3 linked regions of the Ovis aries genome follow. The protein of the gene in region 1 interacts with the protein of each later gene in a biochemical or structural test. Links are inferred from orthologs where the notes say so. Each region holds a gene or a part of one and is shown in the gene's direction. Other genes may lie near its edges.

Region 1 (8,129 bases):
GCTCCAATACTTTGGCCATCTGATGGGAAGAGCCAACTCATTGGAAAAGACCCTGATGCTGGAAAAGATTGAAGGCAGGAGGAGAAGGGAACAACAAAGGATGAGATGGTAAGATAGCATCACTGACTCAATGGACAAGAGATTGAGCAAACTCTGGGAGAAGGTGAAGGACAGGGAAGCCTGGCATGCTGCAGTCCATGGGGTCACAAAGAGCTGGACATGATTGAGTGACTGGACAATAACAAGAGATACCAAAAGAATGGTTCCCAAAAAATGGTTCCTGGGGATGGGCATAGGGTGAAGCAGGAACTTGAAGGACTTTCACCTTGACTGCACTCATATCTTCAAGAAAATTTAAAAAACTAAGTTGGCAACATGAATATTGGCATCGCAGCCCAATAATTATTTCAATTTCTTCCTTTCTAGATCAGTGGGATGGGTTCCGGTTTGCAGTAGTTACCTTTGTGGAAGTAGAGGGGGCAAATACCATCACTCAGTAAATTTTGCAATAGACACTTCAGGGCCAGTTGATGTAAACTCTTCTACCTGCTCATGACTGTCTAGTCATTTCAGTACCAAAACGAAAATCGAAAACTTATTAATAAAACCCCAGCCATTAAAAACTTTTATTAGAGAATTGGCTGAGTCTTTCCCTGCACGGCCTGGAGGAGGTGAAACAGCTGGCTTGGAATGCAATCTTTTTTTCCCTCCACCACTCTCTTCAAGACTCTAGGGCCAGAGCCAAGGCCAACTTGAGAAAGGGGCAGGAGGGGCCCTGTTGAATCCACACAGCAGACTACCTGGCCTGCAGCCACCTGGCCTGTGGATCAGTTGTACATAACTCAATAGAGAAGTAACCGACCACAGAAGATGCTTGTTCAGGGGATTTTTGTTTCACTGTCAGTATTTGTCCTTGACTAATGTCCTGAGGTTAGTCCAGATCAGTGTACTGCAGTTGGTGAACAGGAGGGTTAGTCATTCCTAGCTTTCTTACAGAAACTTTCAGGTTCAAGTCTGTTTTTTGCTGGTTAGTAGCCAGAAGTCTCTGGAGCAGGCCATCAATAGGAGCTGTGATTCAGGAAAGTGGAAACCTCTTGGCTTTTAAGTCAAACTAGGCGGTCCTCTGCCTGTCCTGGGCAGGGAACAGCTCCGCCATGTCATGCTGAACTGCAACACATCCAGCCTTTCCAGCTTCCTCAGGAATAACAACCAAGTACACTGTTCATTTTGATGTTAAAATCACGCAGACACATAGCTCAAGGTGGAAACAAGAAAACTGGTTGAATTCAGCTCAGTCTCTCAGTCACTCAGCCATGTCCAACTCTTTGTGACCCCATGGACTACAGCACACCAGGCTTCCCTGTCCATCACCAACTCTTGGAGCTTACTCAAACTCATGTCCATGGAGTCGATGGTGCCATCCAACCATCTCATCCTCTGTTGTCCCCTTCTCCCACCTTCAATCTTTCTCAGCATCAGGGTCTTTTCCGATGAGTCTGTTCTTCACATTAAGTGGCCAGAGTATTGGAGTTTCAGCTTCAGCATCGGTCCTTCCAATGAATATTCAGGACTGATTTCCTTTAGGATGGACTGATTGGATCTCCTTGCAGTCCAAGGGACTCTCAAGAGTCTTCTCCAACACCACAGTTCAAAAGCATCAATTCTTCTGCGCTCAGCTTTCTTTATAGTCCATCTCTCACATCCATACATGACCACTGGAAAAGCCTTAGCTCTGACTAGACAGACGTTTGTTGGCAAAGTAATGTCTCTGGTTTGGAATATGCTATCTAGATTGGTCATAGCTTTTCTTCCAAGGAGTAAGCGTCTTTTAATTTCACAGCTGCAGTCACCATCTGCAGTGATTTTGGAGCCCCCCCAAATAAAGTCTCTCACTCTTTCCCCATCTATTTGCCATGAAGTGATGGGACCAGATGCCATGATCTTAATTTTCTGAATGTTGAGTTTTAAGAACCTGGTTAGAGCAAGTAAATCACAAAAGGAATTTAACCAACTTGAGGGTTACAATTTACTTGTTAATTATTTGTCCTCTTTTATTCATTAAAGAAAATATTTTATTTTAGTTTTTCTGACCATGTTCCAAGGTATGTGGGATCTTAAGTTCTCTGACATGGATCAAAGCTGTGCCTCCTACATTCGAAGCAGGAAGTCTTATCCACGGGACTGCAAGGGAAGTCCTTATAGGTTTTCCTTTTAAAAACAGATTTAAGACTAAGAGAGCACAGGATCAGTGCCTTGCAAATGACAGGCTGAAGCCCTGAACCTCCCCACTCATCTTCAGTACTGCTCCGTAGATGCCTGTGGTGGCTCATCCATTTCCTCCAAGCCAGGGATTGGGGGACGGGGGTAAACGCTCAAGTGCGACAATCTTGGGATCATGTGCTGGCCATGCAGTTTGTCAGTTGATCGACACTGAACTTAGCTTCCTCAACTGCACTATATGTCTAGTAATTCATAGCCATTGTACAGATGTGAGCTTATGTAACAGTGGTACTGATTACTTACCAAGAACTGTGGGAGGTCCAGGCATTCCGTTAAGTGCTCAATCTGTTTTATCTCCTGTAATTCTGCTCAGATAGCAATTTCAGAGCTGGGGCCTGAAGACTGGCAATTTAGAAACCTAATCAGTTAACCCTCAGATCAATCAAGTTGAGAGCCATGGGTGTGTACTAATGTTCAGACACTGATTAACCTTTCAGGGTTTTAGAGAGGCACAAAAACTTCATCCTGCCACTCACTAGCTGAAGATATTTGTCTAAGTCTTTCACCTCTCCAAACCTCAGCTTCCTTGCTCAAATGAGAGCAAAAATAGCATCCACTTCTGCGAATTACTCAGAAAGTGAAATGAACCAGTTTGGGTGGTTATACATGTGGCACACACAGAATTTTTATGCTGTTAGCTGGTGCCTGTAGGCCGCCTCCTTTTTCTTAGGTGACCTTCTGACCTCTGCACATAGGTCATCATGTGAGTTTAAATTTAGCACTCTTCCATCCACATGGTTCATTTCAAATCCTAACTTTTGGGGGAGGGAATAGTGTGTTATGGTGGAAAAATCCTTGTTTTGGATCCAGCTGGACTGAGTTCGAATTCATATATTCATTTGAGCCTCCGCTTCCTCCTCCATGACATGCGGGATCCTCTACATTGTTGGGAGAATGAGAAATAATTGATGTAAAGGTGCAACGTACAGATATTGCATTATTATTGGTGTCGTAGTTTTAAAATCTAGAAGATGTGAAAACAAAAAGGCAGAAAACTCTTTAAAAAATTCAAACAGTTAACAGAGGCAGAGGGTGGGGAGAGGGTGGAGGATGAAGAAAAGCTGGGGAGGTTCAGACTCCCAGAGGAGAGGTCTTCACATCACTGTCCCCTCCCCCCAACACTCCCCTCCCCACCAGGGGCTCAGCACTGGACAAGGATGGTTACCCCTGCTTAGGGCTGGGCAGGACCTCACCCCCTTTTGGTGCTGAATTTCCTCACAACTCAGCTAGAGATCTGTTTGGACCCAGGAAGAGTTCTTGCCAGATGATCTGGGGAGCTTGTCCACGGCTGCAGTGCTAAGATTCAGGCCACAGAACAGAGGAAGCATTTTTCTCTGCAGACCCCTTTCAAGCGAGAATGACATTTTACTGGCCACAGGCAGTCTCAAGTCTCTTTAAAAATTAGAGAGCTGATAAACACTAAATGCAGTGAGTAAAATGCTTTCCAATAAAACACGTCCAGCTTCCTGGTTTTTAGTTTGCATGTTGACATGCAGTTTAGTTGCATGTCTGTGGTCACTTCTGAATGTAGGGAAATTGGGCTTCGGTTCCTTTAAATAAGAAACATTTTCTGTTCAAGTGAGTCACCTCAGTTTTCCAGCTTTCCAAATCAAGTTTATTTTCTAGTTCTCTCTCTTCAGGAATTTTCTTTCTCTCTTCCTGAAGACCAGAGTTTGCCCTTCTGCTGGAAGGCAATGGTTTCACAGGTTCTCTTTCTTTTATCTCAAGATTTTTTAAAGCCCTGCGGAATTTGGTAGCAAATTCTGAACGTAGAGAGGAGAGAACCAGGAAGTGAGTCTTCCAGGGGCAGGCATAAAAGCCTGGTGGAGGCATCGAAAGTAAAAGTAAACTTCTTCCTGGAGGCGTTTCCAACCCCACCTCCTGTCTCCCCCTCCCGCTTGCCTCATTTCCAGGGATTTATCTCCAGCTGGGTTTTAAGAACGAGCCTCAGTAATACGAAGTGTGAAGTTAGGCAGTGTGGGGTCTTGTCGTCGAGAGTTTGGTGGCTGGGATGTTGCCAGGACTGTGTGGAGCAGGTGAGTGCCTGGTGCCCAGTTGGCTTCTGGATGCCGCCTTTCTCACTCGAGGACTTCCCGGGGAAGTCACCTCCCAGTCCTGCCAGAGTGCCAGGTTCTGAGTGGGTTCCTATCTGAACCACAGCCCCTGGCTTTGCTACTTTTTAATCTGAGGACGCGCCAGTTCCTCTGCTGCCTCGAGTATAGGTACACTGTCTCCTGCTGGTTTACTTTAGATTTCCCAGAAGACTTTATTTACCTTTTTATGTTTATTTTCTATACCACTTGTCCTGGGGCAGAGGGTTGAGTTGATCACTCAATCAGATCCCGATTCCCTATAAACCCTTGGTCTTGGGGACCCATGGGCCCCCCGACCCTGCCCTGCTTTATCCATTTTCTTGGATCTCCCCACTCCCCAACCTATCTCCTATCCTCCTCGCTGGCTCCCAAAGTGTGTGTGTTTGCTAGTCGCTCAGTCATGTCTGACTCTTTGCAACCCTAGAATCTGTACCCGCCAGGCTTCTCTGCCCATGGGATTTTCCAGGCAAACATATTGGAATGGGTTGCCACTCCTGTCTCCCGGGGATCTTTGCAATCCAGGGATCGAAACTGCTTTTCCTGCATTGGCACTTGGATTCTTTTCCACTGAGCCACCCGAGAAGCCGGCTCCCAAAGACAACCCTCCGCATCTTATGATACATATCCTTAATTGTTCTGTATCTTTGTGAAATGTACCATTGTTTTGTGTGTGTACACTGTGTCTTAAACTCTGTGACCAGAGCAAGAAAATAATTTCTCTGTACCTCTGTTTCCTCATCATTAGTGGGATTAACACTCCCTCAACAGGTAGCTGTGAGGATTTATTTGATAATAACAGCTTTAGCCACTTAGTGACTGGTGTTGCTCTGTACCCAGTAAGTGTTAGCAATTATTATTACATGTTATGTATTAGTATTCATATTGTAATTTGCTTGTTCTGTTTTTGACTTTTTATTTTTTATTTTTTGCAAGTAAGCACTCTGTACTTTAAGTTCTATGTGTTTTGCCTGCTCCCACTTTGTAACCGCTGCTTATTATTCCATGACGGACAGTCTCTACAACTTATATAAGGGCTATAGAAGAACTGGCCCACCAAGAACTTGGCTGGCTCCAGCTTGCAAACCTTTGCCATTCTGATAGGTACAAAGTAGGTAGCTCATACCTGCGTTGTATTCCCCAGCTTAGTCATGAATTTGAGTATCATTCGCACACTTTGGCCATCTGAGTATCTCTGTCAAGGAACTCTATAGTCAGATCCATTGTCTTTCGTCAGGGTTTCTTTTCCTTGTTGATCTGCAGGAGACCTTTGTATATTCGAGGTATTTCTACTCCTGTGGCACAAACTGGAAACATGGACATGAAAGATGTGGTCCCTGCCTTTGTGAAGATCACAGCCTAGGATAGGAACCAGCCATAAAACAGCAGGACAGATATTGGGTGGATGTATTTAGGAGGCTGCAAGAAAAGAGCAAGGGGGCACTTCCTGGGATAGGATTTAGCCACTAACAGGTTTTCATTCTGTGGCTGCCTTCTCACTCGGAGTTCTCAGGGCAGAGTCAAGGGAAGTTAAGGGCACAAAAGGAACACAGAACCCTTACCTAGCTCTCTGCAGGTGGAGGGGCATTTTCAGCTATCTTGTTAATCCTCTCGGCTGTGAAATTTGCCCTCTGAAAGCTAATACTCCATTTGGGGAAAGAGAACATGTAGTTTCAAAGAAGAGAGGTTTTTTTTTTTTTTTTTCCTCTACTTTAATCATCAGAAAACAACTGATGAGAGCCAAAAGGCAGGGCTAAAGTGAGTTTTGTTCTCTGTTTTATCTCCAGGTCCCAGTCCATGGTGAGGGCCCTGGGATTTTATTTTTCCTTTGGTGAGTTTGGCTGGGCCTTTTGGGAGGAAACAATATGATTCTAGAGTTTTCTAGACCTAGACTGCTGAGGGTGAGATCTTGTATATGAATGTAGGTGGGGGAAACCATGAGAATTTCTGTGGGGGTCAGTAGACCCTCTGAACCATAGTGAGGGCCCATAGTTCCAGAACTCAAGACCACTCAGGAGTGCTCAATGAGTATTATTGAAGGAAACCATTGAAGTCTTAATAATGAACCCATAAAAATCTGTATATTTCTGAAAAGGAAAAGAAAGGGTTCTTAGCTATCATTCAGTTCCTTTTTCCTTTTGGAATGTGGTACAGAAGCCCCGAAGAGAAAATGACCTGCCCAAAGTCACATAGCCAGAGGCAAGTCTCAGATGGCCAGCGTCCCCATCCAGCACCTACCTCTTATTCCACGGGCTCCTTCTTGGAGATGAGGATGCGGGTGCTGCCTGGAGGCTGGCCTGCCTCACTCAGCCTATGGTGACTCAGGAGTTTTGAAAACAGGAAGTAAGCGAGCTACGTTGTTGGTTCTTCATTTGACTCTAATTCCTGTCTTAGATGTACTGAGAGAAGAGGCCCGTGAAGTGGCTGCTGCTGTGAAGGTTCCAGGATTCGCCTCTGGTAAGATCTGATGGGACTTTGGAGAGGAAGGCCTTTGAATCTAGAACTCTCTAGGCTACTGAGAATGGGATCTGGCAGGTTCAAGGGCCCATAGGGTAATCCTAGTATTTGAGTGTAGATGAAGAAACTGGGAGAGTTAGCCGTGCCTCTGAAGGCCGTGGTGAGGGTTCAGAGATCCCAGATGTCCGTGCCCCTCCAGCTTTGGTAGATGATGCATTCCTGAGTTTTAGAGGGGGAATACTCCAAATATATTCATCTTTACAGAGGCCTCACCCTTATGCCAGCCAGACTTATCGAAGAATAGAAACCAAAATTCAAATCTCAACTGACTTTGCTGCTGTAGCTACCCGTCTGTCGACCCACAGACCACCAACATAAACACACACACACCTAAACAGACACACATAGAAACACACACACACAGTGCTAAACACTCAATTGTTTATTTATTTATCTTTGCGGGATGGGGGTGGGGGGATTAAAAGGGTAAAGAACAGTACAGGGAGTAATATAATGGCAATAGATTGATAATCAGTATTTGTGGAGTTAACCATTCATAGGTGGAATTATGAATTTCATTCCAGCATTGGTTTGGAAGTGTGAGATTAAGCATTTACAGGTGAAGTTATACCTTCGTTCAGTTTGGTAGGTTTTTAATTTGGCTGGAATGTGGATACCTTTTCTGGGCTGTGTGATAGTGCTGGCTGGGGCCCTGCAGTGAACAGTGCTTGTGTGGGTCTCTGGCAGGTTCTGGGTGAATCCCAATTTGGAGTGGGAATCCTGATTCGGAATGGGAACCCCAATTCGGAGTGATCCTCCTGGACTGGAGGGAATGGCCATCCTATTACCTAGGGCTTTCAGGCCTGAGACTAACTTTCCAGTACTCTTAAGCTGTGAATGAGACACATATTTTTGTCTCAGAAGAGGAATACAAATTTTGGGTTTATTTTCTCCAGCTTTGAGGTAGTTTTTCATTAGACTGAGAGAGCTAAGATGCTGCTAGAATATTGTTAGAAGGATTGTTTGTGATTAGATGAGATTTATTTGCAATTTAATTGTGGTGTAACAGGCAGTGCTAATTCGGGACTCTGGGATGAGGTGCTGAGGTTTAAATCCAGGCTCCAGCGCATACCAGCTTGGTTGTAAGGTTCTGATCTTCTCTCTGCTTTAGTGGATTTGTTAAGAATTTTTGTTTGTTGTTTCTTTGGGGGGTTTCTTTAAGAATTCTAAAGACTGTATAGTCCATGGGTTCACAAAGAGTTAGACATGACTGAGTGACTTTCACTTCACTTCACTTAGTCT
Region 2 (7,329 bases), on another chromosome or scaffold:
TTAGCTGAGGCACACAGGATCCTCTGTTGCGGCACATGGGCTTACTTGCCCTGTGGCATGTGGGATCTTGGTTCTCCACCAGGGATTGAACCTGTGTCCCCAGCTTTGGAAGGCAGATTCTTAACCATGGGACCACCAGGGAAGTCCCTGAACTGATTCTTAAAGGATGAGTAGGAGTTAGCCATCTGAAAAAAGGTGTAATGGGGCATATGGAAAAGAAGGGAGGGGCCATTCGGGCAAAGAGAATAGTCTAAAGATAGTTATAGAGAAGTGAATTGTGTGATGTTTGTGAACTGTAGACAAATGATTAATGTTAGAGAAATAAAAAGTGACAAAGGCCTGATCTTGGATGGTTTGGTGTGTTGGGTAAGGAATCTGGAGTGTTCTTATTGGTAAGGAGAGGATTGTGCATGCGAATTCACTTCAGTCATGTCTGACTCTTTGTAACCCTGTGGACTGTAGCCCACCAGGCTCCTCTGTCCATGGGATTCTCCAGGCAAGAATACTGGAGTGGGTTGCTGTGCCCTCCTCCAGGGGATCTTCCTGATCCAGAGAGCAAACCCACGTCTCTTATGTCTCCTGCATTGGCAGGTGGGTTCTTTACCACTAGCACTGCCTGGGAAACTCAAGGAGAGAATTGTGGAGAGGTGTTAAGATGAAAAGTGATGTGGTCAGTTGTGCATTTTAGATAATTCAGCTGGATGTAGGGGATGGGTTTAGACAGGTTAAGATTGGTTGTAAGGAGAGCCTTGAAGAGGCTTCTGCAGTAATCCAGGTGAGAGATTATTGGGACCTGAGCCAGCGTGGTGGTAGTAGGGGGTGGAAAGGTGAGGCAAATTTAAGAAATAGAAAGTAGTATCAACAGGAATTTATACTTGTTTGGGTGATTGGAGGTTGTGGTCAGAGGGTGTAGTAGTATTGGGTGGTACTTGGTAGCATAGTAAGTATGAGTGGCTGGAGAGGAGATGAAAGCTGTTTGATTTGAGGATTGGTTATTAGCTGGGTCACTGACATTACCCACAATGATGGAGGAAATTTGTGAATCAAATGCCAAAACACATAATAAACGTAGGACTGTGCTTGGTCATTGATAGAGGATTGGTAAACGACAACCGTGAGGAAAGGTTAGAAAGCGGCATAGATCCAAATGGTGTGTGACCATCAGAGAGCACAGGTGGCGCAGGAGAACTCCTAGAATGCTCAGTGTAGGAGCTTAGTGACGTTTGTCGATTTAAATCCATGAGTTTCAGTGGATATTTGAGTAACTTTCTCAGCAGTGATTCTCCTGGACTTGGTTTGTTGGAGGAGAAATGAGGATAGGTCTGTGGAGGAATGAGTCTGGGCTGTAGAGGCCAAGGATGCTTGTCTCTTTGAAATCTCCTAACCAGTTAGAAAAGTCTTACGGTGATTTCATGTGCATTTTCTCACTGGATTCTTAATAACTCCGAGGAGTAGTTTTTTTCCTCCTTGTTTTGAAGATGGGGACACTGAGGCTTTCAAGTTAAGTGACTTACTTAAGGTCACGTAGCTACAGTTTGTTGACAATATGGGCAGAATTAAAACTAGTTCAGACTTTGTTTCCCTGCTGTCAGCCCCTAAGTTTATCTGAAAAAGCTTCTGTGTTAGAATTTAGAGTGAATTTTCTACTTCTCTTCACTTTGCTTTCATTTAAGGGATGAATTGATTGGGGACGTTGTCAGGTTGAGCACACAGGACCAAAAGCAGTATTTTGGAGGCCAGAGGAAAAATCAGGACAATGTCTGCTGAATATGTAGCACTAAACTTGCAAATTAGTGAGTCTTCCTTAGCGGATGTGACTATCTTTCTCTAGTAAGATCTGGACTTAGGGCAGCATCTGCTGAATATAGAGAGCTCTATGCTTTATTTTTTAATAAATATTTTATAGGCACTTCCCTCGCAGTCCAGTGGTTAAGGGTCCATGCTTCCAATGCAAGGGATGCGGGTTCGATCCCTGATCAAGGGAAGTAAGATCCCATGTGCTGCACAGTGAGCCAAAAAAATCAACAACTTTGTAAAAGTTAATAAATGCTTATTAAGCGCTACACAGCGCCAGGCATTGTGTTAGGCTCTGAGAATATAGGATCGGCTAAGACTAGTTCCTAACATTGAGTGGTTCACAGGTTCTTTCCTTGTCCTTACAGTATAGTGGGGATTGCAGCTGCTGAGCAGGGATTCTGGAAAGCAGTGTGTACCTGAGCCCCCAGCATGGCGGGCCTAAAGCGGAGGGCAAGCCAGGTGTGGCCCGAAGAGCACGGTGAGCAGGAGCACGGGCTGTACAGCCTGCACCGCATGTTTGACATCGTGGGCACTCACCTGACACACAGAGACGTGCGCGTTCTTTCCTTTCTCTTTGTTGACGTCATTGATGACCACGAGCGTGGCCTCATCCGAAATGGACGTGACTTCCTACTGGCGCTGGAGCGCCAGGGCCGCTGTGATGAGAGTAACTTCCGCCAGGTGCTGCAGCTGCTGCGCATCATCACTCGCCATGACCTGCTGCCCTACGTCACTCTCAAGCGGAGACGGGCTGGTGAGGGTGCACTTGGGGCTGGGACCCTGGGGTCAGGGGAGAGCTGTGGGCAGCCCTGAGTCAGCAGCACAGGCATCCAGGCAGAAGCAGGCACTGACTCTGGCAAGTCCTGAGAAGAACCTTTTGAGGTGCATTGGAGGATTGGACCAGGAGAAGGGAAGGGTGTATCTTTTCCTGAGTGAGTCCCTCTCCCCCTACAGTGTGCCCTGATCTTGTAGACAAATACCTGGAGGAGACATCAGTTCGCTATGTGACACCCAGAGCCCTCAGCGACCCAGAACCGAGGCCTCCCCACCCCCCTAAAACAGGTGAGATGTTAACTCTCCCTAATTTCCATAATCGAGAAAGAGGACGCTGGACCCATCTTTTGCCAGCCTAAATGAAAGGACACTGTCCCTCCCGTATCTGCCCCTCCTTCCCAATCAGATGAGGTGTTAATGCTTCATCTAGGTCCTATAATGGTCCCCATATTGTGTCTACCTTTCAAGTCCCATTATTGATATTGCTGTAGTGCTGAGTCTGAATGATTCCTCCACATTCCAAGTGAATTGCCTCCATTTCTGCTTTTCCCCTGCTGTGCCTCCCTTTTTCCCTCTGGTCAGTGCCTCCCCACTATCCTGTGGTGTGCTGCCCTACTTCGGGCCCTCAGATGTGTAGCAAGCGGCCAGCTCGAGGGAGAGCCACACTTGGGAGCCAGCGGAAACGCCGGAAGTCAGTGACACCAGATCCCAAGGAAAAGCAGACATGCGGTGAGGAAGTTCAGGGGTTCTAGAGGTGGAGTACACTGGAGGGGAAATAGAACTGCTGGAATACTGGGCATGTTGAGTTGCTTTAGTCGCGTCTGACTCCTTGCAAGCTCCTCTGTCCATGGGATTCTCCAGGCAAGAATACTGGAGTGGGTTGCCATTTCCTTCTCCAGGGGATCTTCCCAATCCCTGTCTCTTAGTGTCTCCTGCAGTGGCAGGTGGGTTCTTTCCCCCCAGCGCCACCTGGGAAGCCTCAGAACATGGGCAGCTTACGCTATTTAGAGCGAGGCTCACTTTGATTGCTGTTGCACAGTGAGGTTGAATGTTACAGTCTCTGGGTGGAGAACTCTGTCTTTGTGGCAGAGTAACTCTTTGTGGCAACTCTAAGTAATAACTAGATGAAAGGGATGCTGTTATGACATCCTTATTGTAGTATGACTCAAGTCATGATAGAATATTAAAGTGAACTTCTGTTAATTAGGAAAATATCTCTTAGAATCAAGGTGCTAGTTGGGAGTGATGGAAATTATCTGACCTGGGCATGTCCCATTTAAGGGAACCTCTTGAATTGAGGCAAGGATTTCAGAGCTTCATAGAAAAGAGCGAGTCCTGGGAAGAGGTAGAGAAGCTGTCAGGTGCTGTTCCCAGCTGTGTTCCTCTGCCATCCTTCTCAACTTTTCAGAACCTGGGCGTAAGCTCAGCTCTCACGCAGTCTCTCCTGTGCGTCGTCTTTCCCCACAGACATCAGGCTGCGGGTCCGGGCTGAGTACTGCCAGCACGAGAGCGCTCTGCAGGGCAACGTCTTCTCCAACAAGCAGGACCCACTCGAGCGCCAGTTTGAGCGCTTTAACCAGGCCAACACCATCCTCAAGTCCCGGGACCTGGGCTCCATCATCTGTGACATCAAGTTCTCTGAGCTCACCTACCTCGATGCATTCTGGCGCGACTACATCAACGGCTCGTTACTAGAGGCACTTAAAGGTGTCTTTATCACAGACTCCCTCAAGCAGGCTGTGGGCCATGAAGCCATCAAGCTGCTGGTGAACGTGGACGAGGAGGACTATGAGCTGGGCCGACAGAAACTCCTGAGGAACTTGATGCTGCAAGCATTGCCCTGACCTTTTCCCCTTCTCACTTCTCTGGGGACTTCTCACCACCCACCTCTGGAGCTTACATACTGTTCTGGGGTTTGTTCTCTACCCTTCCAACCGATCACACCCCTGCCTTTTTTTTTTTAAAGGAAAAGACAAAAATGGAAGTGGTGTCCCCCACCCCTCCCTGCACCCATGTGCCTGGCTTCCCTTTGTTCCCCTTTTCCACTTACCCCCACATGTGTGTCTCTACAGTCACCTTGCCACTGAGCCGTAAGACAAATGTGTAGGGAGAAGCAAAGTCTATAGGTTATAGTCTTTGTAAGGGATTGAAGTGATCACTGCTTTTGGGTGCATTGAGGGGTTATCAGTACTTCTGGCTTTATGAGGGCTCTTAAACTTTGTCTGAAAAACCAAAGGGCTGTCAGTAGGGAGCTGTGTGGAAGGTGGGACTCTGAACTGTATTTTGGAAATTAATCACCACCCTCTCCCAAATTATAGAATTTTTAAAAAAGAAGCTGTGGCCCTTTCCACTCTCTCCTGGCCTCTGGTGCTGCTCCTCTCTGCCTTGTTTCCTCCATTCCATGGCTTGAAACCTCTGCCTGGTGTGGCTCCTTCCTTTTCCCTCTCTGTCAAACCCTCTTCAAAGGAATAATAGGTAAGAGGACTAGGTCAGCCTAGTCAGTCCCAACTGTGGTGTGTCTGTACCCACACACACACACAGGGTGGATGGAGAAGCGGTTGCTGGTTAAAATACACTCCCCCTGGAAAGGGGAAGGGGGAGTGTGACACTTTCTTTCCATGTTCAAGTGAAAATAAATAATGTACCCTGCAGCCCTTTCCCCTTTTGCTTTCTTCTGGCTTGGGCAAAGGCCATCATAGGTGAGAATGAAGTGATGCGGTAGCAATGCCTTTCTTCTTTTTCTTTCCCCATCCTCTACCCTCCCACTCCCAAGCTTGGGAGCATGGGGCTGGGACATGCACTGAGTGTTGCACTTTTCTTTAGGTAGGGAGGCATGTTGAATAAGCCAGGAGGCCTAGAACTGGAGCCTAGTCCAGCTGGTACAATACCACCTCCCCTTTCAGTTCCCAAAAGAGATATTCAGACACAGACTTTATGATGATTATATATATATTTTTCAATGCCAGTGCTGCTCAGCCCTCAGCATAACTTCAGTTTTCATGAAATAAACAGTGACTATATTAAATTCCACCTTTCTGAAACTGAAATCTGAGCTCAGGTGAAAGTTTCTTCTTTTCCAAGAAGCTGAGCCTGTGTTCCATTAAGAGACAAGGTTCTCCAAGTGAGGGGAGCTGCGCCTGGGTCCTGCCTGCAAGTCACAACGCCACCAGCTCACGATGGAGGTCTCAGTGGACAGAAATCAAAAGTCTTAAGACAGTGGGTGACCCAGATTGCCATAGAGGTCAGGCCTGCGGTGCTGGAACACAGGCAGTTGTTTGCGTAACTGCTGCAGATAGTTGAGGTCAATTCGGGCAAGGCAAAGGCCTGGTCCTTCGGAGCAGCGGGCCACCACTGTTCCCCAGGGATCTACCACCATGCTATGTCCATAACTTGCTCTCTTCTCATGGTGGCGTCCACACTGTGCTGCCGCCACTACGTAGCACTGGGTTTCAATGGCACGGGCCCGCAACAACACCTAGGGATGGAGGAGATGGCTGTTCACTCAAGTACATGTAGCAGCTGGTAGGGAAGTGATAGCCATGGACATTACAGCCCAATCTACCCATTGTGACCATCCTGATAATTGCCTGTGAATGATTTACTACTCTCAGAGGCAACAATCTGGGGAAATGAATTTTCTCATTAGGTGGGAAGGAGAAAGAAAACCTTTTAGCTGGTAGAACCAAGGAAGGAGAATGAAGTAAGAAAGGCCCTTACGTTCTGAAGAAGTATTCTCTTACCTCCCAATGGGCTGGGCCTGTAACAGATCCAAAAGCCGAAGGGTAGGTAAGTATTTCTGCTCCTGCCTGAACCAATGCCAGAGAGAGTTCAGGGAACCGCATGTCATAGCAGATAGCTAGACCAATCTGGAATGAAAAACAACCTATTTAGCCCCCCTCGCCCCACTCCAGTACTCTTGCCTGGAAAATCCCATGGACGGAGGAGCCTGGTAGGCTGCAGTCCATGGGGTCGCTAGGAGTCAGGCACGACTGAGCGACTTCAGTTGCACTTTTCACTTTCATGCATTGGAGAAAGAAATGGCAACCCACTCCAGTGCTCTTGCCTGGAGAATCCCAGGGACGGGGGAGCCTGGTGGGCTGCCATCTATGGGGTCGCACAGAGTCGGACACGACTGAAGGGACTTAGCGGCAGCAGCAGCAGCCCTTATGTCACAGCATTTGGTCATAACCCTGCTACCCAACTCCTTAGGGCTTTCTGTCCTCTATCACCACTTTCAAGGATTCCTGTTCTCTTCCCTCTTGTTCCTCTCCTACCCTCATCCTTTCACAGTGCCCACCTTGCCTGCTGGTGTGCTGATAGGAGACTCAAGACTGGGCCCAGGTATGGTAGAGTTGCTTTCACGCATAGGCCCCTGTCCTGGAATCTCTACATCACACAGATGCGTCTTCCTGTAGGTGGCCACTACTGACCCTAGAGTAAGAGAGAAAAAGAATACTCAGTGCTAGTGCCCTAGAAAGCCAGCTTAGATTCTCTCCTCCCAAAGAGGAGATAGCTTATAGGCTAGGAACAGAAGTACAAATACCCCCAAAAACCCCTGGCCAAGGAAACAGTTGAGAAAACAGAATTCTGGAGAATCTTAGGTATAATTGCCTGAGGAGGCAGGCTAAAGAGTCTCACCCATGTTGTTCAGAATCACATGACAGTTGTAGATTTTCTGAGTCTGCTCCCAGTCCTGGCCACGCTCATGGAAACCACCCAAGGACAGCCAGAGTCCACATTCCCTGAGGGGGAGGGGAC
Region 3 (8,066 bases), on another chromosome or scaffold:
AGCTGCGGGGAATGTGCCAAGTGCCTCACCCAGGGCCACGGCTGCCTGCCAAGACCCTGCGTCCCTGGAGCACAGGGGAGGAGGACGGGGGTTGCGGCTGCAGATCCGGCCCTTTTTCTCCTTATCTGGAGCCCAGCCGGGAATGCCCCTATCTGCTCAGGGATAAGTCTTAAAAAAAAAAAAAAATCAGGGACAAGCCTGCCTCCCTGCCTGATAAGATGGGCTGCCAATGAGACAAGGTCGAGGACACAAGGCCATCTGACCTAGGGAGGATCCATGGGCCTTCAGGAGCTGGATGCCATTGTACCCCTCCCCCAGAAGCACTGGGGAACCGAAACCAGAGTCGCAGAGAACCTAGCCGGAGGCAGCTGCAACCCAGGCAGGAGGAGGGGAGGGGCCGGAGCACTGGCCTGGAGTAACCTCTCCCAGGCCCCGGCTCCTGGCCCTAGCCGGCTGGCCGCTGACCCAGCCTGCTGGGGAGCTGCACGGCTGGGACCTGGGCGGAAGGGCGGCCACACTGGGGGCAAGGTGGCCGCTGGGAGGGCAGGAAGTGCGTCCTGCTGCAGTGGCGGCTTGGGCCCCGGCACCCCTGGCTGGGGCCTCGGGGAGGCAGCCAAGCCCGCAGCCAGGCCAGCCTTTGGGCTCCGGAGGGGGGAGAAGCTTGATCTGGAGCGCTGAGATCCGATCGACACACCGAGCACTGCTGCTTGTTAACCTCCGCTTGGGCTGAGTCATGCCCATAATGCCCACTTGCCCGGCCGGACGCCGGGCTTCAAAGGGCCTGGGGGAATAGGAGGGGGCCAGACAGCAGGCTGCATCCTGTCATCCCTGCCCCCAGATGGCAGGAGCCCCTTCTCTGTTGGCTGCAGGCAGGGGGCAGGCTGGGAGCTCTTGGGTCTCCCATCACTAGGGTCCACAGCCCTAAGGCCAGGACAAGGGAGGTGGAGAGGAAGCAGAAGTGACCCAGGACAGTCTCCACCCAGCCTTCCTGCTTCTCCATTTCTGTGCCGATCCGGGCTGCCCACGGCCCTGGTCGTCCACAGCCTCCCTCTCCCATGGCCAGCCCACACCTGTGCCATCAGCCATAGGCAGCCCCAGGCCTTCCTGCCCCGGACTCCCCCAGCCACGCGCTTTCCGGCCCCAGGAGCAGCCCCACCTCATGGCCCCCGTAGAAGGCAATCTCCTCTGAGTTGGCCACCACTCGGGAGTGCATGTAGCGCAGCTCTCCCTTGCGCCGCGCCTCCTCAGCCACCAGCTCCCCGAACTTGGGCGAGAAGGCTCGCAGCACATTGGCCGTGAGGAAGACCACGAGGCCAGCGATGGCCGAGGGCCAGGCTGTGCCAGCCCCGCGGGAGCGGGCTGCTCGAACCAGGGTGTAGGTGGTCACAGCCACGTCCAGGAGCGGCTTGGTCAGGTTGGAGTAGAGGTGGGCCACGGAGGCAGCGAAGGCCACCACGTCCTCCGTCAGGGACTGGTCTGGGTTGCGAAGCCGCCCGTCCATGTTGCTGACCCGGTAGTAGGTCTGCTGGGAGAAGTAGAGACTGTAGGCATGGGCCACCAGCCGGCTGCGGAATGCCAGGGCCAACTGGCCCTCCAGGTAGCGGATGGCACTGTTGATGAAGGTGGCAGGCAGTGCGATGAGCAGCCACTGCACGAGCTGCCAGCTGAAGGCCTGAGGGTCCTTGCGCACGATGCAGCGGGCCAGCCGGCCGTCCAGGCGGGCTACGTACACCGACAGGAAAGTCCGGCTCACCAGGGCGGCCGAGTGCAGCGCCAGCAGCCCCGTCTCCCGGCACAGGATCCTGGGGAATAGCAGCCGCAGGAGCCATAGGAGCCGCTGCAAGAACACCTGGTTGACACCGGCCTTGGCCGCTGAGGCCACGGGGGCACCGGAGACGTCTGGTGCGGGCTCCCCATCCACCGCCGGCGCTTGAGGGCCCCTGGCCGGAGCCAGGCACTGGCGCACCAGAGGGTAGAGTTTGTGGGCTCCATAGGCCATGAGGGCCAGGACCACGGCAGTACGCTTCAGCGTGGTCACCCGCGAGGCTCTGGGGGTAGAGAGCACCGTCATGTCACCTGGGCTGGACTCACGGGACCGGGACGGGTGCCTGAGGCGGCAGAGGAGGCAGGTGGCTGCAAGGGTGGTGGCTCTGACCCCGGGCTCGTTGTCTAGGCAACTGGAGACCTCGCAGTGGTCCCTGAGACTGTCGCTTTAGGCCACCCGGGTGGCGCTGGGGCCCCTGGCGCGGGTGGGCTCAGGGCCCTCCAGGGTCACGGCCTCTTCAGGCGGCCGAAGTGGAGGAACTTGTCAGTCCCTTGGCCCTTGGGGTCAGAGCCTCTAGAGGTCTCCGGCCGAGGGCGTCTTTTTCTCTCCACCTCCTACTCCTCCTCCCCTGGTAGCGCCCCTCCCTGGGATACCGGCCGCGTCCGTCCGCTCCACAGCCCGGCTGAAGCGACTGTGACTCCGCCACCCGCCCAGAATCCCCACCTACCCACCCACCCCTCCCCAGGGGCGAGTCGGGGGAGGGGGAGGAGGCGGAGGAGGGGCGGGAGGCGGAGCCCAGGCACGGGCCGCCCCACCCCGTTCTCGCCCCACGGTGGGGCCCCGCCCCCTCCCCGGACCACAGAGACGCCGGAGGACCGCGCGGGCTAGAGAAGCGGCACCTCGCCTTCCCGCCAAGGCCGGGGACCCGTCTCTCCGCGCGCGCGCGCGAGGCGTGGCTCCTTCCCCAGTCCCAGACGTCGGGAGCCTCGGTTCGGGGGCGGGGCCTCCGGGGCCTTGTGGCGGTTGGGGGCGGGCCGGGACTGGCCGGGCGCTTCCGGTTCCGGCCGCGGGGAAGGGGCGGGGCCGGGCTGGTGGTGGGAGAGTTTGGCGACGACTGGGCGTGCGTGGTGACTCTGGAGAACTCGGTGAGCGGACTCGCGCGCCGCGCTGGGCTTCCGGGCCGCCGAGGTCCCCCGGCTCCTCGACGAGGGGGCGCGGGGAGGCCCGGTGCGCGGGGCCAGGGCCGAGGCTAGAGTGCGGGGGCGGGACCGGGCGGAGGGAAGTCAGGCTGGCGGCGGGTGGAGCCATCTCCAGGGTAGGGGGCGACGTCGAAGTCCCTCCGGAGGAGCCGGCGGGGTGGGGCTTGAGAGGGCGTGCCGGGTCGGGGCCTCGTCGAGGGGTCTTCTGGAGCCGGGTAGGCGCCGCGACCGACCTGGGAGGCCGGGAGGGGTTTCTCCGGCTTTGGAGGAGACAGTCTTCTAGAACTTTCTCTGGACGGGGCCGTGAGGTGCTGGGTTGAGACCCGCTCTTGCCCTTGGCTCCAACTCTCGTCCTCTAGGAGTCGCTCTCGGGGGCTCTCGGAGATACTGAAAGCTGAGCCGAAGGGGCGGTGGTTGGGAGGCTTTTGCGTTCCGCTCCTGCCCTGGGAGGAGCTGCTCGCTACTCCTCTGTCGGCCCGGGTGGAAGGGCCCAGAGGCATCGCAGGTTGGGAGGAAGCGCAAAGGCATTACTAGGACCGAGGCTGCGGTGTGGTGGGCGGTAGCTTGAACTGCCGATTCCCACCCACTGCTGCCAGGGTTCCGCAGGCGGAGTCTCCCGGACTCCACGGGGAGGAATTGTTTGGAAAAGTGTCTCTGGAGGTATTGGCAGCCAGGCTGCGGGGCTCGAGGGCTGGGAATGCTCTGAGGTCTAGGGCTGGTGGCTGCCGAGCTGTCACGACGCCTGTTTGTTCTGTGCTCCATCAGGAACAGGCTCACATCATCCCGGTGGAAAGCTGCTAGCAACACGATGAGTCTGCAGTGGACCGCAGTCGCCACCTTCCTCTATGCAGAGGTCTTCGCTGTGCTGCTGCTCTGCATTCCCTTCATTTCTCCCAAAAGGTATGGGCAGGCAAGCCAGGAAGAGTCTCGGTAGCTTGTGCCTGCAGAGTTGGGGGGCCTTAGAGTTGAAGCCAGCCGGAAACAGGTAGAACCTGTCTGGGATGGGGGTGGCAAGGACTGTGTTTATTATCGCCAGCTAGGCCCACAGTTGTGCTCAGTCACATCTTGACTAGGTCCTTTCCCCTGCACCCTGTCTTCTGGTCTTCAGAGTGTGCCAGAGGGGACAAGACCAAGTGACCATTCTGGAAACGATGCCCTCCGGGTGTTTAGGAGATGGCATTGTGAGATCTGCAAGACTTGCCTCTGGGTCATGTTACCGTTGATTTGGTGACTTCTGTCCTCCTAACCAGTCTCGCTGGGGTTGCGAAGTGGCCTCATGAGCATTACTCAGCCTAGGAAGGCCGAAGCCATGTTTCTTTTCAGTGAACAGAGGACTTCTGAAAAGTTATTTTGAAATTCATCTTGATTACATATACTATAGGAACACATCTGATCTTAAGTTAGAACATTACAAATAAGACTTACAGATGTTTTCATAGAAGCTTCTTTTTAATGAAAAATCACAGGCTGCTGTTGTGATAGAAAGTGTACAGCACTGCTTAAGGAATGTTCTTTACAAAAGCTAGATCTGAATCACCTCATACAGTTCACAGGAAATGCAGAGACAGTGGCCCACTTGGAGCTGCTACATGGAAAGCTTTGCAGGACAAACAGCCTGGTTTCTGCAACAGTGAATTAGGGGAGAAATCAGAGAGCAAGGGAGGGGGGAGTTCGTAGAATAAGGCCTGGTGTGCTGTGATTCATGGGGTCGCAAAGAGTCGGACACGACTGAGCGACTGAACTGAAGGTACTTATTAACAGAATGCAAAATCAGAACCTTGTCAGGATTCAAACAGACCAATTGTTAAAAATAATTGCCTCAGTTGGACTTTGGAGTTCTGGCTCTGATGATGAGAGATTTTTCTTGATATTTTTGAGGCTTGACGGTGGCATTGCGATTGGTAGCCATTTCTGAAGGGTCTTCTTTGACGGAGCTGTATGCTGAAGTATTTATGGAGGGAAAGGTAGGGAGGTCTGGGGTCTGCTTCATGGTAATCGGGGGTGGTGGGAGTCTAGATGAGCCAAGATTGGGCACATGGGAAAACAGTTTAAAGAAATAATGTGGATTTGGCAAGCATTTTGATACTACAGAGGGGACGCTAAGTTTCGCATTTCTCTCCCCAGAGCCTACCAGTGTTTAAGACTTTTTCTAGAAATTTCTATACTTGGACAGGTGTCTTTTTTTTTTTCTTTTTAACACTGTTGAACAGATGTCATAAGTTGGAAAATTGCAAGCAGCTGAGGCTGAATCTGTATGAGATATTCAGTCTTTGAAGAAGAGTGCAAAACTGTATCTGTTTTCAGGGCCCTGGATCCCAGGTGTGTGTTCTTACTCTACTGACCTTAGCCTTTTTGTCTTTTTCACAGATGGCAGAAGATTTTCAAGTCCCGCCTTGTGGAGTTGGTAGTGACATATGGCAACACCTTCTTTGTGGTTCTCATTGTCATCCTTGTGCTACTGGTCATTGGTGAGTGAGTTGTGGCTGATGGTAGCTATCTGACTTAGACCTTTTGCCATGGCCTCTGCTACAAAGCCCTGTGCCATGTGCCATGTTCCATGATTAGAGTACAGCTTTGACTTCTCAGAGACAGACCATTTAGTGCGCCTGTCTTTCTCTTGGGGGAAGAAAAGCTCCCTTCATCCACAAAGACGTCAGCATCCCTGCTACTGACTGCTGGCAGGGTCTTTGCTTTGACCAGCAGCCTTTATGCCCCTGGTGCTGACCATCTTGTGTCTCAGGCAGCTCCTTGGGTCCTTCCAGAGCTGAAACCAAGAGAGGCTAATGGACCTGTCCTGACCTTGGTCTCAGTAGGCTGCAGGGTTTATGAACTGGGTGTGTGTGCTTTTGCTTTTAGGTGTGGGCTGGGGGTAAGAGTTGGGGTGGGGAGGGACCATGCTGGGGGGTGTTCACTTAGAGCTTTGCCCTTCTGCACACCAGATTCCACGAATTCTCCTGGTATGGCAGATTGGGTGGGAGAGGCCCTTTGCAGAAGGTGGTAGTTGGCAAAAGTGCCGTTTTTCTTTTTGAGGAGTCAGGGAACTGCCTGGATGTTCTAGAGCGACATCCTGCTATGATAAAAGGCTGCTTCGTATCCTAATGTAATCTGTAGAGGTCTGCCTAAATAAGTTGTTCAGTTCAGTCACTCAGTCGTGTCCGACTCTTTGCGACATGAATCGCAGCACACCAGGCCTCCCTGTCCATCACCAACTCCCGGAGTTTACTCAAACTCATGTCCATTGAGTCGGTGATGCCATCCAGCCATCTCATCCTCTGTCATCCCCTTCTCCTCCTGCCCCCAGTCCCTCCCAGCATCAGTGTCTTTTCCAATGAGTCAGAGTAAGTTGTTAGCTAGTAGCAAATGCTAGCGACATAGCATAACTAGCTAGAAGCTGCAGCCCTGGCTGGCCCCTAGCCATCCCTGGGAAGGGATCTAGGGCACATCTCACTGGGGGAGTGGGCTTAATGAGAGTTCAGGGTCAACTGCCGTGGGCTGGAGGCCTGAGATAGAGAGGGTAGCCCTCTGCTGTATGACTTGAGCTAGTTTGGCCCAATGCCCCGATCCCTGGTTGGCTCTTTGCCATTAGTCAAGGTGGACCTTGAGGTGCTGGGGTCTCTGGCTGCAGAAGACAGTGTGGGAAAACATGTTTTTTGTTTAAATCACAAAAATAGCACAGCTTTAGAAATTTGTGAATTTAACTTACAAAGTTAAAGGTTCCCATAAACCCATGTCTCACAGGTAACTATTTTAACAGTCTGTGTTATGTTTCCACAGTCATTTTCTGTGTTGGCCGTGTCCTCACATGGAGGAAGGGACAAGGGAGCCCTCTGGAGTCTATTTTATAACGGCACTAAACCCACTCATGAGGGCTTTGTGCTCATCTTCCAAAGGCCCTACTTCCTAGTATCATCTGGTTGAGAGTTAAGGTGCCCAAATGGGAATTTTGGGGGTCAGGAACCCACATGTGTGTATGCTGAGTCACTCAGTTCGGTTTGACTCTTTGCGACCCTGTGGACTGTAGTGTGCCAGGCTCCTCTGTCCATGGGATTTTCCAGGCAAGAATACTGGAGTGGGTTGCCATTTCCTCCTCCAGAGGATCTTTGCAACCCAGGAATCGAACATACATTTCCTGTGTCTCCTGCATTGGCAGGCAGATTCCTTACTGTTGAGCCACTTGGGAAGCCCACGGATGTAACACAAAGATACCAGTAAGTGGAGGTGTGTTTTTATGATGTAAAATCAGCCTAAAAAACAAGCAGTCTCATACCAGAAATTAAGAACCAGATAGTAGCCTTACATTGCCCCTCTCCCATGGGGATCCATTAAGAGCACTCTTTAGGTAGATCTTTACATAATGATTTAAAAAGATGTCTCAGATGTTCATTTCAGCAGCACATATCCTAAAATTGAAATGAGACAGATGATTAGCATGTCCCCTGCATAAGGATGGCAAACAAACTCATGAAGCATTCCATATTTTTTTTAAAGCACGTTGTAGGGGATACAGAAATAGAAGTAATGGACTTATATAATGTTACAAATCAGTGTACTTCAATTGAGAAAAAAGAGATAGCAGGGTTGAGGGAGAAAAGTAGTAGGTATGGGATCGTTCCATTTCTAGCCTGTAAACACACAGATGTGAGTATATATATATATATATATATATATGAGTGGCCAGTAATGGTTTTTTAGAGCAGAGGTTGTTCACTGTTCAGGTGTTTGTGCTCCCCCTGTAACAGCTTAGAACTCTGTTAGGCCTTAAGGATGTAATAGGAAAGGTTTCTGTTCTTGTGGCGCTGTAGTCTAATTTGGGGGACATGAACATTAATTTTAGGTGTGTGTATGACATTGATTAATGGGACTGGAAATGATTGCTTTATTTAAGCTGGCCACATGAAGTAGGTTCTACTGGAGGTGATTGATTATGTTATGGGCTTCTTTCTCCTACATTGAACATTGATGAGCATGAATTTTTTTTTTGTAAGCAGAATACACCAGTTTAAGTAACCAGTTATAAAGCTTAGACACTTAGAAATGAAAACCTTTGAATCTTTAGCAGGCATCCTCCAGGTCTTGACTCCTAGGCAGCTCATGCTTCCCTT

What was found.
Region 2: the proteins of CASP8 (region 1) and DEDD form a complex in vitro, tested with the Homo sapiens proteins (2 studies listed by BioGRID). The link is inferred for Ovis aries from reciprocal best matches to the Homo sapiens genes CASP8 and DEDD.
Region 3: of the proteins of CASP8 (region 1) and BCAP31, one has a biochemical effect on the other in vitro, tested with the Homo sapiens proteins (2 studies listed by BioGRID, with this or other methods). The link is inferred for Ovis aries from reciprocal best matches to the Homo sapiens genes CASP8 and BCAP31.

Annotation. Positions count from the first base shown.
Region 1 is NC_056055.1:203,612,947-203,621,075, forward strand, and holds the start of CASP8 (caspase-8), read left to right. Parts: upstream 1-4,120; 5' UTR 4,121-4,316; exon of another isoform or gene 4,317-5,677; intron 5,678-6,157; exon of another isoform or gene 6,158-6,201; intron 6,202-6,608; exon of another isoform or gene 6,609-6,702; intron 6,703-6,764; exon of another isoform or gene 6,765-6,827; intron 6,828-8,129. UniProt on the Homo sapiens protein: Thiol protease that plays a key role in programmed cell death by acting as a molecular switch for apoptosis, necroptosis and pyroptosis, and is required to prevent tissue damage during embryonic development and adulthood.
Region 2 is NC_056054.1:112,572,152-112,579,480, reverse strand, and holds the end of DEDD (death effector domain-containing protein), read left to right. Parts: intron 1-2,162; 5' UTR 2,163-2,226; coding exon 2,227-2,551; intron 2,552-2,751; coding exon 2,752-2,859; intron 2,860-3,153; coding exon 3,154-3,300; intron 3,301-4,038; coding exon 4,039-4,415; 3' UTR 4,416-5,618; downstream 5,619-7,329. Other genes in the region: NIT1 (deaminated glutathione amidase), read right to left, coding at 5,780-6,046, 6,312-6,437, 6,869-7,002, 7,210-7,313. UniProt on the Homo sapiens protein: A scaffold protein that directs CASP3 to certain substrates and facilitates their ordered degradation during apoptosis. May also play a role in mediating CASP3 cleavage of KRT18. Regulates degradation of intermediate filaments during apoptosis.
Region 3 is NC_056080.1:80,543,024-80,551,089, forward strand, and holds the start of BCAP31 (B-cell receptor-associated protein 31), read left to right. Parts: upstream 1-2,865; 5' UTR 2,866-3,080; exon of another isoform or gene 3,081-3,179; intron 3,180-3,380; exon of another isoform or gene 3,381-3,624; intron 3,625-3,729; 5' UTR 3,730-3,772; coding exon 3,773-3,864; intron 3,865-5,331; coding exon 5,332-5,432; intron 5,433-7,342; exon of another isoform or gene 7,343-7,445; intron 7,446-8,066. Other genes in the region: ABCD1 (ATP-binding cassette sub-family D member 1), read right to left, coding at 1,157-2,071. UniProt on the Homo sapiens protein: Functions as a chaperone protein. Is one of the most abundant endoplasmic reticulum (ER) proteins.